Linked DNA regions of Ovis aries. The protein of the gene in region 2 interacts with the protein of the main gene of each other region in a pairwise test. Links are inferred from orthologs where the notes say so. Each region holds a gene or a part of one and is shown on either strand. Other genes may lie near its edges.

Evidence for each region.
Region 1: the proteins of A2M (region 2) and C15H11orf58 interact in a two-hybrid assay, tested with the Homo sapiens proteins (2 studies listed by BioGRID and IntAct). The link is inferred for Ovis aries from reciprocal best matches to the Homo sapiens genes A2M and C11orf58.

Annotation. Positions count from the first base shown.
Region 1 is NC_056068.1:35,436,467-35,444,684, reverse strand, and holds the end of C15H11orf58 (small acidic protein), read left to right. Parts: intron 1-812; coding exon 813-873; intron 874-2,394; coding exon 2,395-2,504; intron 2,505-3,222; coding exon 3,223-3,450; 3' UTR 3,451-5,665; downstream 5,666-8,218.
Region 2 is NC_056056.1:206,397,802-206,405,988, reverse strand, and holds the start of A2M (alpha-2-macroglobulin), read right to left. Parts: upstream 4,559-8,187; 5' UTR 4,499-4,558; coding exon 4,413-4,498; intron 1-4,412. UniProt on the Homo sapiens protein: Is able to inhibit all four classes of proteinases by a unique 'trapping' mechanism. This protein has a peptide stretch, called the 'bait region' which contains specific cleavage sites for different proteinases.

The DNA of each region.
Region 1 (8,218 bases), on a different chromosome or scaffold from region 2:
GTTCTGTAAAGAACTCAGAGATTCTGTTATTTGTATTTCTTAAGGTGGAACTGAGACCCTACCCAAAGGCTACACTATTGTTTCTTGACTGCTCCTCACGCCACTCTGCATCCCCTCCCTTCTCTGTTTAGTCTATTTGAATCTGCCCTTTGGAACTCAAGGAAGGTCATGGAGGCTGGAGTCTCTTCCCTACAAGCAAGAAATGGACACAGAAAGGTTTCTGTGCCCAGGAGCCCCACAGGCTCCTGTTTGGTTTCAAAACTAAGTATGAACCATAAAGAATGGATTGGAGCTGATAAATTGAGACTAATTATATAAGCTAATTAGTTGGTAACTTTGAACTAGATTGTTTTAAATTCTGTGCTTTTTCATAGTGTGAAAGAGTGTTTTTTGTAGCCAGAAGTAACGAGCTAGCTGTTTGTGGTCTGTTGCTAAGTAGTAATGATTCTTATTTTTTATATTTTAGATTTCTGTCATTTTGTTCATTATCTTTATTTAGCTAAATAATCTGATTTGCTTTCTCTTCAGGATATATACCTGAGACATAAACATTTTAGAAAAGAAAATGTTTAAATTGATCCAATTTTCTAGTTATCTGTCTGTCTTGTTTAAAATCAACATACTTTCTATACCCATCCTCTGCTTGGTTTATTGTAATGACACTGCCTTCAGACATAACTATAATCTACTTATTGATTTTGTTTCCCCTCTCCATCCCTATCCATGCAAGAATGTAAATTCAGCATCAGGCACATAGGCAATAATTAGGTTAAATCTGTGGTTTCAAATTCTAATACATTTCCTTCTTACAGAAAGAACATACTGGTCGTCTTGTTATAGGAGATCACAAATCCACATCTCACTTCCGCACAGGTAAGAAGGTAAAATATAATTAAAGTGGAGGTGCTAAATTTGGAATGTGAAATACTTGCATATATTTTGGGATATTCTAACTTCTGTGTATAATTGTTGATTAGTTCTGATGATTAACATGTTGGAAATAGATGTTGTGTATGTAAACATGTTCCATACATCATGTAACAGTATATACTCTGATGAAGGATTTGAAAGAGTTTACATTAATACGAATATTCTAACCAAGAAACTGACTTGCTTCTGTTTCCATTTCTACTAATTTACAACATGTAGTATTTTAATTGTAGTGAAGTTTTATGCCTCATCTTGCCAACTCTAGTTTCTAGAGTTTACATATATTTTGTATACTATTTACTATACAGTGTTAATAGTTGGCATATTATACTGGTTTTTAGTTTATTCACTAAGTTTATGCTCTTCAAAGATCTCAGAGCAAAACTCATTGGAAAACCTGAAGAAATGAATTCTTTTAATTTGGGGGGGGGGATTTAAAAACTGAAAATGAATTAGAATTTGGATTCAGTCTGCTGAAAATTTTTCATTTAATATTAACCCTGATCTTGGACATTATTAATAACAGGGCACAATACCCCATATACATTTAAGAAAACCTTTACTTACATCATTTAAATTAACTTTATACTGACCTAGATTATGTAGCATATTTTAGAAATTAATAGGCATTTTATTTTTCTGGTGTTGAACAATTACTTCAAATTAATCTGCATTGCTACAGAAGGCTAAAGAGTCTGAACTTTGGCAGAATGGAAATGTATTTAACTGTTGCACTTATTCTTTTAAAATATGAAGTTATTTTCTTGTATTTACAAATTAAAATGCCACGTACAGAAAGCTCCAATGGTATTGGTAATATTTTAGTCCTTGGGTGGTAAGTTTATAGATGGTTGTTTAGTATTCCACTTCATAACTTACATGCAACAGAGTATATGTTAAAAGTATATGTCAAATGTCACCTGCTATATCGGTTCAGTAAAGTGATATGCAAAGAAAGGCATACAGAGAGCCAATTCCAAGGTCATTTTATTTAGCCATTTTCTGAACAGAATTATGTGCCTTTTCATTATTTGTGTTCAAAGACAGAAGCTGTTGTTTGTTGGAGGTGTTTTTCTATGACTAGGAGGAAACTTTCACTTTCGGGAGAACCATTATGAGACTATATTAACTAAAACATGATACCCAAAGTTCTTAGCAATTAATATTTACAGTATCTAAACTTCAGGCAATTCTGAGAATTCCTTATCTGCTTTAAATTATTACATGGAAAAATTTTTCATTTTTAATAAAACAGCTTCTAGTTCGAGTAGCTACTAAAGAAGTAAGTTATTTTGTCTGTTAGGTAATTACATATGGTATATAAACCCATTCACAAAATTCACTGTAAAATTACTCAGAGAAATCAGCCCTAAATATAATAGCATCTGTATTATGGGTTTTTTGTGTAATCAAATATTTTTATTAATTTGACTGAAACATAATCAAAGTACACTGGACATACAGGGGAAGAAGACAAGAAAATTAATGAAGAACTGGAGTCTCAATATCAACAAAGTATGGACAGTAAATTATCAGGAAGATATCGACGACATTGTGGACTTGGCTTCAGTGAGGTAGTAATTAACATATTTTCATTAAGTGGAAAGATACTGCTAATTTGATATCACTTATTTCTGTTAAATTACTCTAGCAACCAAGAATCCTAAGTAGAAACCTCTCTTTATATAGTTACTTAAAATATTTTTATATGCCAAACTAAGTCTTTGTAGTTAATGAGAAGAGAGATTGAGAGTTTTTGAAATACTAGAGTTTTTTGATACTAGCTTAATGTACATTCTGCTTGGAGAATCATTAGGGCACATTTTAAGTAGGCATGAACAACGTACTCACAAGTTAGATGAAGTATTTCATGTAAATACTCATTAGTTATCTCAGTTGTTTCCTATGTCACCTCGTTCCATATAACTACTGGTTCATTACTCCAAAATAATGTAATATGCAAAACATTGGTAACTGTTTTCAGCATTCCCGTGAATCAGTGGTTAACTTGCCTTATTCTTAAAAAAAGTATTGTTTCCATCAGGAAGACAATGTTAATTTCAAACTAGGGAGGGAAGGAAAGGTGGTGGTTTCAGAGCCCTTTCTTAAGCAAAAATCCTCCTCAAGTACCAGTTTACGAAACAGCTGGAGACGCCTGAGCCCTCAGCTCTTCCCTAGGCAGCCTCTGTTCTTAAACTGCTGCTTTAATGGCTAGAGAGTGAGACAAAAATGAGGGTCTTTTCCAGTTTTTGTACTGGATAATTTTAATAGGCTGTTGGTTGATATTTGTAGGTAGATGATCATGATGGAGAAGGTGATGTGGCTGGAGATGACGATGATGATGATTCACCTGATCCTGAAAGTCCAGATGACTCTGAAAGTGATTCAGAGTCAGAGAAGGAAGAATCTACTGAAGAGCTCCAAGCTGCTGAGCACCCTGATGAAGTGGAGGAGTCCAAAAACAAAAAAGATGCAAAAAGCAACTATAAGATGATGTTTGTTAAATCTAGTGGCTCATAACTCCCAAACACTTAGTCTTTGTATTAAAAGTAAGCCTTATTGTTATAATGCACAGTGGAGGACTGCTTATAGAGCACAGACCTTTGTATTATAATTTTTAAAAAGGCCCTTTTAAATAATTACAAAGAGTGTTTGCTTTCAGATGCCATGGGTTACACTTTTATGGGCATGATTATAACCATTTTTGTAAAGAGTAAGAGTTGTATAAAATAAGAAATAAATACAATACTCAACTTCTTTTCATGTTAGCATCATCAACAATCTCTAATATCACCTTTTTACCCCTTCAGATACAGTTATGGGGGAAACAGTATTTTTTGTGTGGTAGCTGTTTATCTTTTTTTGTTTCTTCATGTTTTTCTTTTATAAATTTTTATCTGGTACTGTGATGTGTTCATGGGAAATATTCTTTTATTATACTTTCTCATAGTAGAACTATTCATCATGGATATTTCTGCTGCCAATAACAATCTAAATTAATGCTGGCAAAATATTTGGAACTTAGTTTACTCTTACTGATTCAGCTCTACTCTTTTGGACCAAAGCAACATGAGAGCAAATACTTTTCACACCTGTTAGGCTGGGGTTGCAGTTGTCATGTATTTGGAATGTTATGATCCCAAGTAGTCTTTATATAATTTGAATGATATTGTATGTTAGATTTTTCTTTTAATATAAAATTGGCCAATTTTTACAGAAGAAAATTTTTCTCTGATCATTTGGTCCTATCTATTTAGGAATATGTAAAATGGAACTTTTTTTTTTAAAGGTAATATGTGACCAAAGTTAATTTCCTTCCTAATGCTTAAATAAAGAGAAAGCAGCTTCCCATATTTGGTTGTAATACCTTTATCCTCATTATCTAAAAATGAGGAACAGGCTTATTGAACAAGAATCTGAAACCAAATTCTCTTCATTTTATCCCAGTGCTGTTATCCTGATTATCTTACAAAAAGGAGTATTGCTTTGATTTTATCACTACTTCTGTTGGAGTAAGATTAGTATCTGACTACTATTATGTGGTTAATTTGTACAGCAGGTTAACACAAACTGCATTATGGGCTAGTCAATGATGTTTGAGTAATTGGGTTCAAAATCTTAATGTTTCTAAGTGATGTGTTCAAAGGCTTGAGTTAAAACTATTTGTTTGCTGAACTGTTATACATCTAGAAGCTTAAGTATGTTAATGTGTTGGATTATTTTTTTTTTTTAGTCCCTGTGTCATTTTGAAGTGTAGAATGTGTTCGAGGAATGTAGCAACTAGAACAGGTGATTTTTGGATTATGCAGTCCATCCTGAAATTTTTTTTAGATTTCACACCCCCAACATTTTTTTTTCTTATTTCTCACATTGTTTTATAATAGGTGTTACCCTATATAGTAAAATACTGAGTCAGTGGGTAGTAAACAGAATGTACGTTTAACAAATAGCATTTGGTTTAAACAAGTTTGGCTTTGTTCAGATTTCAGTTTGACCATTGATTTTCAGATAACTAGCCTGTAGGGTTGCTTATTACAACTAATTTAAGAAGTGAAAACTGATTTATGTTTAACAGTGTTATATTTTAAAAAGTATTTTTCATCAATTTATTTAAATATGCTGGGTTATTAATAAGCCTTGATTCTTATATAAATAGAAGAGCCTTGTTCTAAAATAACTATACTGGAGGACCTTTTTTCTTCATCTTCAAGAAATTCTTACTCCAGTTCATTTATTATTGGACATTTAACAAAATTCAGGGTCGGAATAAATTTAGGTCTGTTGGACCATGTGGCCCAGTGGCCCAGCACCACATTAAATATCATGGCTGTCTTTTAAGCATGAACATTGGGTTTTTTTTTTCTTTATTAAATTGCGGGGGAGGGGGATTAAAGGAAGACAGATACAATGCCATTTTGATACCCTACTAAAGTACCAGGAGGGAAAACAATTTGCTTTTGCGCAATGAAATATGCTAGTGAGGTGAAAGTTGAGTGGCAACTTTTTCCTACTATTGTACTTTCTTACCTGAAATATACTTCTCCCAGGTGTTGATTATACTGATGTTCCAGTGATCTTTCTATTGTAAAGGTTTCCAGGAACACAGATTCCTGTGTGTATTAATAGGTAAAAGTCTTCTCATATCTGTAATTTTTTAAACCTGGAAGAATTCAAGGTATAGAAAAAAGTCTGATGTGATTGTTGTTCTGATTAAACAATGGTTTGAGAGCAGAAAGGTGGGTCATATTTTTTGAGTAAATTTTGAGGTAGTAAATTTCAGCTGCCCGGTTGGCATCAGTGAACACTGCAGGGCTGTGGTTCCATTGCTTTGTCTCCACAATAACCACATCTTGGATACTTTCAGTATCCAAAAACAACTTTATCTCCAAAATGACAAATGTAGAAATCTTATCTCTGACCGTAACTGCTCTGTTCCTTTATGTATATTCAAATCAGATCATTTCACTGTTGTCACCTGTTTCATCAGCCCTGTCTAGATTTTTTTATGTGATCACTTCAGTGTCCCTGTTGTCAGTAACCCAAATAACCTTCCCTAAATGTCATAACATTCCTAGAAATACAGCCCTGGATTATCCAGTTTCCTATTATTTCTGGAGAAAGCCCACCAACTGAACAAACCAGTATTTCTAAATGTTGATTAACAACACCGCATATTATCCTTACTGTTTTCTCTTATCAACCCTTCTCCCATTCTTAACTGTTGAAAACCCGTATTTTCAAACTTGTGACCCTCTCTTTCCTCCTTCACTCTTATAATATGTCCTTACATACTAGCTTACGTTAAATAATAGGTTTTATCAGGCAGAAATTCCCTGAACTTCAGCCTAATTTGACAACCATGGCGAAGTGCTCCACTCTTCTAGGTCATCCCAGCTCTACCAACTTAGTGTTGAACTCAGTGACCTTGGGCATAACTAGATCTGAGTCTCCTTCCACCCTTTCATCAGTAAAATGAGATTATCAATAGCAACCACCTTGCATGGTTATTATGAGAATTAGTTAAAACAGGTAAAATGCATTGTTGTTCAGCTGCCAAGTTGAGTGTGACTCTTGCAGCCCCATGAACTGTAGCCAGCCAGGCTCCTCTGGTCCATGGGATTTCCTAAGCAAGGATACTGTAGTGGGTTGCCATTTCCTTCTCTGGGGGACCTTCCCAACCCAGAGATCAAACCCATTTCTCTTGCATTGGTAGGCAGATTCTTGACCACTGAGCCACCAGGGAAGCCACATTTTCAATAGTTTTAATAACTTACTGCTGTTACGGTTTGCTTCACTGCTATTCCCTTCCCCCCAATCCACTCCAACTTTCTACCCAACTTTATTTAACACCGCAACTGCACTGAAAACTGCTTTGATCAATGAAATCAATGATTCTTTCCTAAACAACATTTTTTGGCCACTTGATGCAAAGAACTGACCCATTGGAAAAGATCCTGATGCTGGGAAAGATTGAAGGCAAAAGGAGAAGGGGGTAGCAGAGGATGAGATGGTTAGATAACATTGACTCTGGACATGAATTTGAGCAAATCCCGGAAGATAGTGGAGGACAGGGGAGCCTGGTGTACTGCAGTCGAGTTGCAAAGAGTCAGACATTTAGTGACTGAATAACATCAGAATGATGTTTCTGAAATCTATTAAGTGACTCCATGTGAGCAAGGTTTCTCAATGCTTTCATCTATAAAAATAGAAGTTTTCTCCTTTAGAAACTCCAATTACATGTGCATATTTCATTTCCTGTCCCCATGTCATTTTTATTTTTATCCCTCTTTTCTCCTTATTGTGATTTGAGCACTGTGTACTCATCATTCCAATTTTATATTCATTTTATGATTGTGTACTTTTTTCCTTGAATTCTGCCAGTTCATGTTTCTTCTGTTTCCTCATATCCTCTTGTATTTCTGATGTATCAGTTTATAGAGATCATAAGATATTAAGGTTGTCATGAAATCTTTGATCATAGCTTTCAACTGTTTCTTGAGGAAATGTTTTTCTGGTCAGTGTTCTTCACATGTCATTTATTTCTCTTGACCCTTTTTCCTCTATTTTAATATCCTCATGCAAAGCCTGTGCCAGTTCTTTTTCATTGTTTAGTTACCTGCAGATATTTACTCAGCACCTACTCTGTGCCAGGCACTATTCTAGCTCCTGAGAGGACAGCAGTGATATATATGTACTGTCTCCCCTTCACCAGAATGTACGCTTCATTAGAGCAGGGACTGATTCATTTACTGCTGTCCTTCCAGAAGCTAGAATAGTGCCTCGCACAGAGTAGGTGCTGAGTAAATATTTGCAGGTAACTAAACAATGAGAAAGAACTGGCACGGGCTTTGCCTACCTTTAGGCCCAGGTAAGATAGGCTCCTGCCTTGGGGGCTACATGTTAGAAGGCCCTGCATATCAGCATGTGGGTGCCTAAGTCACTCAGAATTTGCCATTGAGGACTAGCGCAATGCAGTCTATAACCTTAAATATTTAACCTTGTGACCAGGAAAATCCTCCATGTCTTTTGCCCTATGTCCTTGAAACAAAAGGTGACTTATGTCAAATTCCATGAAGGTTTTTGAGTTTCATCACTGCTAATGTCAGAGACAGACACTGCTTCTTAGCATAGAAAAATTCTAGTGGCATCAGTATTTCAGTAAGAGAAATAACTAATTTGTCAAATCCTTTTCACATGGATTTAATGGATTCTTGCACAATAAGATACTGTTTTCCAGGAGTGGAAAATACAGTAAAAAGGGTGTATAAAAATATGTATATTACACATA
Region 2 (8,187 bases):
AACACATATATAAAATGTCATCTATTTTAATGGAGTTTTTAAAATCTGAATTTTAGAATCAGCATCTCTGATCCTAATGGTCTTTGAGCTAAGATTACATAAAATGTAAATAAATTTAGGGAGTATTGACATTTGACATTTTCATGATGCTGACTTTTAACCTATCCAAAAACATAGGATGCTTTATTAACATTTGTTCAAGTCCTTTTTTTGTGTTCTTCATTACTATTTAAAATTTTTTCTTATATATATTTTACCCATTTCTTTCACATTTATTCCTGGGTATCATGAGAAAAATCAAAGCCAAAATAAAAATCAAAGTACAGAATCAATGTACTTTGGGATAAAAATAAAGTCAAAGTTTTGACTGTAGCATCTGACATTAAGGTTCAGAACTAAATAAAGTTATGCCTAGCAGTTACTTTTGAATAGAAAAAAAAAATTCTGACAAATTTAAGGGTATTCCTCTGTATTTGCTAGACAATAAGAATTCTAATAATCTAGTTTACAGGAGCCCTGTAGGTGACCTAAGGTAGAGATGAGCCTTTTGGAGAGGTTTTTGGGTATTGGTTTTGTCTCGTGGAATAAATCTCATTAAAACTGATATGAAACCATGACATTTAAAAGGAGAACTGTACTAACAGAAGCATTTCCAGATGGGACTTCAAAGGACAGAAATGGTTCAAAGGGAAAAGATTTCAGAGCCCTCAAATATCTACAGACTGGAAGAAGATTGAGAGCATATCTCAGCTGAAAACATATGCCTTTTCTCATGGGAGATAAAGGATGAATTAGAGTGTAGAGTGGATTCCAGAGCCACAGAGAACCACTCTGAGGAAGCAAGACTGAACCCTAATCAGAGAACTGGTGACAACTGCCTGGTCAGATTTCAGAGTGGCTATGGACCATGAGCTGGAGTGGCCTCCTGTGCTCCACCTTTTTGAATAGAAGTATCTGTCACAGTTGTCCTGGGATTGCCCCCAGCAGAGTGGTGGTAGATAACTTTTCTGTTTAGTTCACAGATATTCAGAATGCGAACTACACTAAAGGAACTGAAATTGAGCAGGTGACCCCAAGGAGTCTCATCTATACTTGGACCTAATTTAGATGCTGGATTTCAAGCCTGAGGCTGATGTCTTCATATGACAAGACATCAAGTGTTGGAGGGGAACATGGATGAGTGTTATTTTTTTTTTTTTTAACATGGAAGTGAGATGCAAATCAGTGAGGGGCTTATGGAAGATTATGAAAGCTTAGTGGTTAGAGATTGTTTATTAATAAACCATGCCTTTCAGTATTCTAAGGCTTATGTGGTTCCCTCTCCTTGCCCTATGCCTTGCTTTTGAAAAAGGGTAGTGATGGAAGTGGTACTATGTGACTTCCAAAGCTAGACACTAAGAGGCTCTTCAGGTTCTGTCCCACTCCCTAGAATGCTTATGTTAATACTTGGGACACAGTCTCTTGGAATCTTGCTCCAAATCCTGAGCCATTTGGAGAGGACATGTGTCAACACTGTGGGCAGCATTTCTAGATGAGCCACCAGGTGATGGCCAGCATGAACTGCATGCCATCTGAGGAGCCATCTTGGATACCCAGTCCAGTTGAATCTTCAGAGGACCAAAACCCTAGCCAACATCTGACTTCAACTGCAAGAGAGAACCAAAGCAAATAATGCCTTGTTGGGTGAACCTGGTCAAACCATAAAACCATGAGAGAAAAATGATAAAGTATTGTTTTAATTCATTACACTCTAGGTAGATAACTGGAACACATAGCCACATAGACACACACACACACACACACACACACACACACACGCACACACACACCATTTGTAGCAGAGACTGGCTAGTTCTGCACTGAGTTTCTTTCCTTTTCCTCCTGAATACACAGAAAGACTGTCTCATCATGCCACTGAGTTCTGGCTAATGGAGCATAAGTAAATGTGATGTATGTCATATCCAGGTCTGCTGTATTAAAACTTCCTGTGGGCACCTTTATATCACTGTTTGACGGATAAGTATTTGGAAGTGACATACACAAAAATGACAAAGTTAGGTTATTGTGCTTTGTCACTGAGTTTTTGGGTTTGCTGTTTTAGCAGTTAATGTAAAATTAACTAAATACACAGCTGTAACAAACTGGCAGTATTTTATTTTGCATTTTGCTTCTATGTCCATACATGAGATTGACATTTAATTTTCTTTTTTGTGTGATTCTTATGATATTAAACTTAAAATAATTTATATAGGTATTCTTTTTCTGCTCTCTAAATATTGTTTTTAGGATTGAGATTATCATTTCCTTGAAAGTGTGATGAAATTTTTCTATAAAATATTGTTATGCTATCTTTTGTAAGTGAAGGATTATTTTTTACTCCTAATTCACTTTCATTTCTGGTTTATTCAATTTTTAAAAATATTCTATCCTCTGTTTTGATAATTTGTATAATTTTTATTCTTCTAGAACATTATATTTTTCATCGAGGCTTTCAAAATTTACCAGTTGTATGTTTTATTAATCTTTAGAATACAGACTTTTGTTTTCTTGATTCTATCATTTTGTAGACTTTCATTTTATTAACTTCTGTTCTTCACAATTCGCTGTCAACACTGTTTATATATTGCTTTTTTCCCCATTTTTCTAGCTCATTTCATTCATATAACAATCTTTCTTGATTTTTTAATTCATAGAATGTTTAGGTGTTATAAAATGTACTTCCACATGTACTAGATATTTAAACAAATAAATCAGGTATTTTGACATAAAATGGTTTAATTCTTGTTCAGTTCTAAATGTTTTGTAACTTTCATTGTTACTTCCTTTTAATTTTAAAGTTTTTATGATGGAGCATTTCAAACATGCATAAAATTAGACAAAATAATAAATGAATCCAATATATCCACAATATTATTATTATTTTCATAATATGTTTTTATCCTGCTCTCCTGACATATGTTCCACTTAGAAAAATAGTAGTCTTTAAAAGTAGTGGTAGTAGTTATAGTCTTAAAAAAAGCATCATTTGAACAGAAATGCTAAAGTTAACCTCAAAAATAACCCTAATGCTTGGTTACCAGTCACCCACGACCACACTGAAAATCTTTCTGGTTTGTAATTTATCTGCAAAGCATCTTTTATATGTAAAGTGAGAAATCACCAATCCTGTGTAAATTTTAATCTGGAATATTTTTTGTAAATATATAAAACTTTCCATGTATATATGTACACATATTATTTATTTGTTCATCTAACTGTTCTAAATCTACTAAAAGTCTACATCCACAATACTGTATTAATGTAGTGAACTACTAGACTCTTAATACCCAGTTCTAACATCCAAGAACATCTATGTGCACTCTTGCCTTAGCTATACCATATCCACATTCCATCTACATTCACCTTCTAACCACCTCACCCTTCCCATTATCATTTTGAAGCAAAACGCTAAAATATTTCAGCATATATTTCCAGAAGGAAAGGATTATTTTTAAACAAAAACAAGCTACATTATCATACATAAACATTTAACAAAATTTTTTAATATCATCTATATTTAAATATTCAGCCAGTACAAATTTATAATTCCTTGTTAAAATGTCATGTTTTTTAATTGGAGTAAATGGCTGTACAGTGTTGCATTAGTTTTTATTGTACAACAACGTGAATCAGCCAAATGTATACATATAATCCCTCCTTCTTGAGCCTCCCTCCCACGCCCCCATCCCACCCGTCCAGGTCATCACAGATGTCATGATGTTTTAAAAGGTGTCTTTGAAATCATTATCAAAATTAGGCCTATACATTGTGATTGATTAATTGATTGATATACCTTTTAAATCTTTCTAATTTTATAGGTGGTCTCTGCTTCTCATTCTGAGACAATTTATTTGTTGGAGAAATCAAATTGTCAGTTTTCCACAGTATGAATTTTGCAAATTATATGCTTGTGATATAATTTAATACGTTCCTTACCTTCTGTGTACATATAATCTGCAATATGAGTTTAATTACTCCCAACTGTACATTTTAAATATTTTTATAGTCCATACCTTTCACCTGAAAGAATGATTCTGTGAGGGTAAGGCCTGAGGTTTGTCATGCTTCCTAATGACTGCTTATTGTGTTTATGACTATTATTGACTCCATGAAAAACATGACTTCAAGAATGTAGAATAAGTGAAATAAAAAATATATTACTTTCTTATAATTTTAAGGTATCTTAAGGAATGGAAGGGTAGCAATTACTAGGAACGGCAAAGCCTTGTTATAGTCTTACTACTTTCTTGTAACTTTTAGGTATCTTAAGGAATGAAAGGGTAGCAATTACTAGGAAAGGCAAAGCAGAGATATAAGGGAGAGACTGAAATAAAAAACAGACTATTGAGCAAGAGATGTTGGGTGAGACTTACGGTTCCACAGAATCTGAGGTGCTGGTAGAAAACTGAGTGAGGAGAAGTAGCAGGAGACAAGAGTGAAGAAGTCTGCCTTCCCCCATCGTGAGGGGCAAACCGCAGGCACTGTATCGCGCCCAGCTCCTGCCCTCAGCCTGGTCCTTGAGACCTTTCAAATTTAGCAGACTTTATATGCTATTTGCAAACAAGCTCCACCTAGTGCCTCCAAATGGAGTTCATGGTTGGACACAGATTCCCTGAAAGGGTTGATGCTCTCAGCGATTGCTTCATTAGTCTCAAGGCTAAACTCTGTCTGACAGGCTCTGAGTCATTTCCAGACAATAAAAATTTATGTTCCAGTAAGAATTAACCTTCTCTAACTTTGACAGCAAAGCTCCTGAGGAGGAACTTTCAACCCATCCTTCTTCAACTCCTTCAAAATTCTTGCAAGTAGCTGTCAAAAAGAGCTACCTCTGAGGGTCAAGGGATGTGTCATTATGCCAGTAACTCATTCAATGACTTTAGGGGGACTTCTTGACAGAGGATTGAATAAGCAGCTCTGGAGAAAGTAATTCAAAAGAAATGCCCGTGCTTGACTAAAATTGCAGGTGTTCTCCCTGTCTTCGCTATCCCCCTCACTTCATCATGACCCACCCATCTAGCACTCTCTCCTAGCCTTCCTCAAGCTGCAGCCAAGCCCTGCTCCCAACATACTTCCCCTGTATCACTAACACTGTGGATCCACCCCACACTCAACATTCTCCTACAGACTTGCTAAGGCTGGGCAGTAGACACAGTTCACACAGGACACCTCTTGATCACCTGGTGCTGGTGGCCACAGGGACTAACCTCCCTGGGCCCCACAGGTCTGTAATGATTGGAAAGATAGTTCTGGGCAGGCTGTCACACCCAGGACATTACACAGGCAGCAGAAAAAAATTACCCATAGTCTGCCTGTGAAAAAGACATTTACTTATCCTGGAACTTCAGCCTTAGGGATAGGCTTCAGCACTGCTGCTCTTCTAGATGCTGCAGACACACTTGTAGGGAATATAGGGAGGAAGATGCAGTCTTTGCACCCTCCCGTTGTTGCATCGTCCCCTGACCTTGCCATGGCTTTCTGGGATCTTCCAGCAATGAGCTTATACACTCAGAGGAAAGCTTAGTTCTGGCAACTGTTGCCCAGAAACACTCCCGGATCTCCTGGTCTGGAGGTCAGCAGGGATTGCAGACCCACAGGACTATTTATGTACTTTAACAGCTGTTGCTGGAGGATCTGGCTTTCAATCTGTCTGAAACTAGGCACTAACTCTGGGAGCAAGCTTTCTGGAACACTGACAGGTCTTAAAACACCCTCAACAACTGGGATCCATCAAGAATAAATCAGGCTGCTTAACACACTGATTTGAAACAACCAAGAGCTAGGGTGAGGATAAATGATAAGCTTCATCTCATACACAGGACACTCTTTCAATGGGAAAGTGGGCTGTTTTATTTAGCATGCAGACTCAAACAGAGAGAGTCAAGCAAAATGAGGAGAATGGGGGAAGATGCTTCGAATGAACAAAACGAAACTTCAGAAAAAAAATCTTAGCAAAATGGGGATACTTATGGCTGATTCATGTTGATGTATGACAAAAATCACCACAATATTGTAAAGTAATTATCTTCTGATTAAAATAAATAAATTGAAAAAATGGAGATACATAAATTATCTGAAAAAAAGTTCAAAAGAATAGTTGAAAAATGCTCACTGAACTTGAGGAAGAATGGATGAACACAGTGAGAGCTTGAGCAAAGATAAATAAGAAAGTGCTGAACAGAAGTCATAGAGCTGAAGAATATAATAACTGAACTGAAAATAGGCTCGAGGGGTTCAACGGAAGATGAAGTGGAGCAGAAGACAGGATTAGTGACCTGAAAGAGCAGTGGAACGCATCCAAATAGAGCAGCAAAGAGAAAAAAGAATGTTGAAAGAGTGGAGGCAGGTAAAGAGTTCCTATGGGACAACATCAAGCAGAATAACATTCACATTAAAGGAGTCCCAAAAGGAGAAGACAGAGAGAAAGAGCCTGAAAATTTGAGAAATAATGGCTGAAAACGTCCCTAAGAAAGGGGAAGAAACAGATACTCAGGTACAGGAAGCACAAAGAGTTCCTTATGAGAAGAACCAAAGCGATCTCTACCAAGGCATGTTATAATTAAAATTAAAAGTTCAAGAGAGAATCTTAAAAACAGCAAGAGAGAAAAAAACAAAAAGACCTTGTTACGTACAAGGGAACTTCCATTGGATTATCAGCTGAGTTTTCAGCAGAAACTCTGCAGGTCAGAAGGGAGTAGCAAGATATATTTAAAGTTGTGAAGGAAAAAACTTCTCACTAAGAATCTCTACCCAGCAAGGCCACCATTTAGAACTGAAGGAAAGAGAAAAAGTTTTCCATAGAAGCAAAAGCTAAAGGAGTTTATCACCACAAAACCTGCTTTACAGGAAATGTTAAAGGGACTTCTTTAAGCTGAAAACATACTAATAACTTGAAAACGTATGTAAGTAAAAATCTAACTGGTAAAGCCAAGTAAATAGTAAAGATAGTGGTTAACTGCGGCTTATTTGTACTAGTGGCTCAAGACAGGTTTTCTATGACATTTTTAACTTTAAAAGCAAATATACTTCATGAAAAAGAATGCTTTGCCTAGGATCAAGCAGAATAAGAATTACTAGGATTGAATGAACAAGGAGGGAAATTAAAATGTGGATATTTATTTAGAATATGATAGGTCTTTATCCCCCTGGAGGAGGAAACAGCAACCCACTCCAATATTCTTGCCTGAAAAATTCCATGGACAGAGGAGCCTGGCAGGCTACAGTCCAAGAGCATTGGAAAGAGTTAGACGCAAGTGAGCAACTCAACACACACACACACACAAACATACACACAGAGGTATTTTTTAAATGTATTTTTAACAAATATGGGGAAAAGTTCTTCCTCTTTCTTTAAAAAAAAAAAAAAGCTTTATTTATTTATTTTTTTCTGTGCTCTGTGGGCTTCTCTTTAGTTTCAGTGAGGGGGGGCTACTCCTCCAGATGAGGTGCTCAGACTTCTCTTGGTGCAGAGCACAGGCTCTCAGGCATGTAGGCTTCAGTAGTTGTGGCTCCAGGGTTTTAGAACACAGGCTCAGTAGTTGTGGCACAGAGGCTTAGCTGTTCCTCTGGATGTGGGATCTTCCCGGACCAGGAACTGCTGAACCTGAGTCTCCTGCATTGGCAGGCGGATTCTTTACCCCTGAGCCACCAGGGAAGCCTTTTCTCTTTTTGCTCTATATCTAGCACCTAATTTAGTAGATTCTGTTTCTGTATGTAGATGGAGACAAAGCATTTAAAAATGGTATCTAATTTGCACTAACTCTCTTAAAATTCAGAACAAAAACTTACTTTTTCAAGTAAAAATATATCCATAATTTTCATGGCAACATAGTTAATTGCATTAGTTTAATAAGAATATGTCTTTTTAAAAAATCTAGACATAATTTGGACAGATTGATTGTGTAATTAAGGCCTACAAGAAAAATAATTTTTGAAAATAATTCTTATTTAATCAGTCATGACAAGCTCACAATAGAGAAGTATGGGTGGAGTCAATATTTACAAAGTCCTCAAAGGAAACTGACATGGTGTATGACATATAGGGTACCAGCCTCGTACATAAAGATAATTGTTTCCTGGCAGGCCAAAGATCTTGGGAATTTGGGTGGGGGAGGCTTCTAGAGGAGAGGAATTCCTCTGACTTTGTAGTTA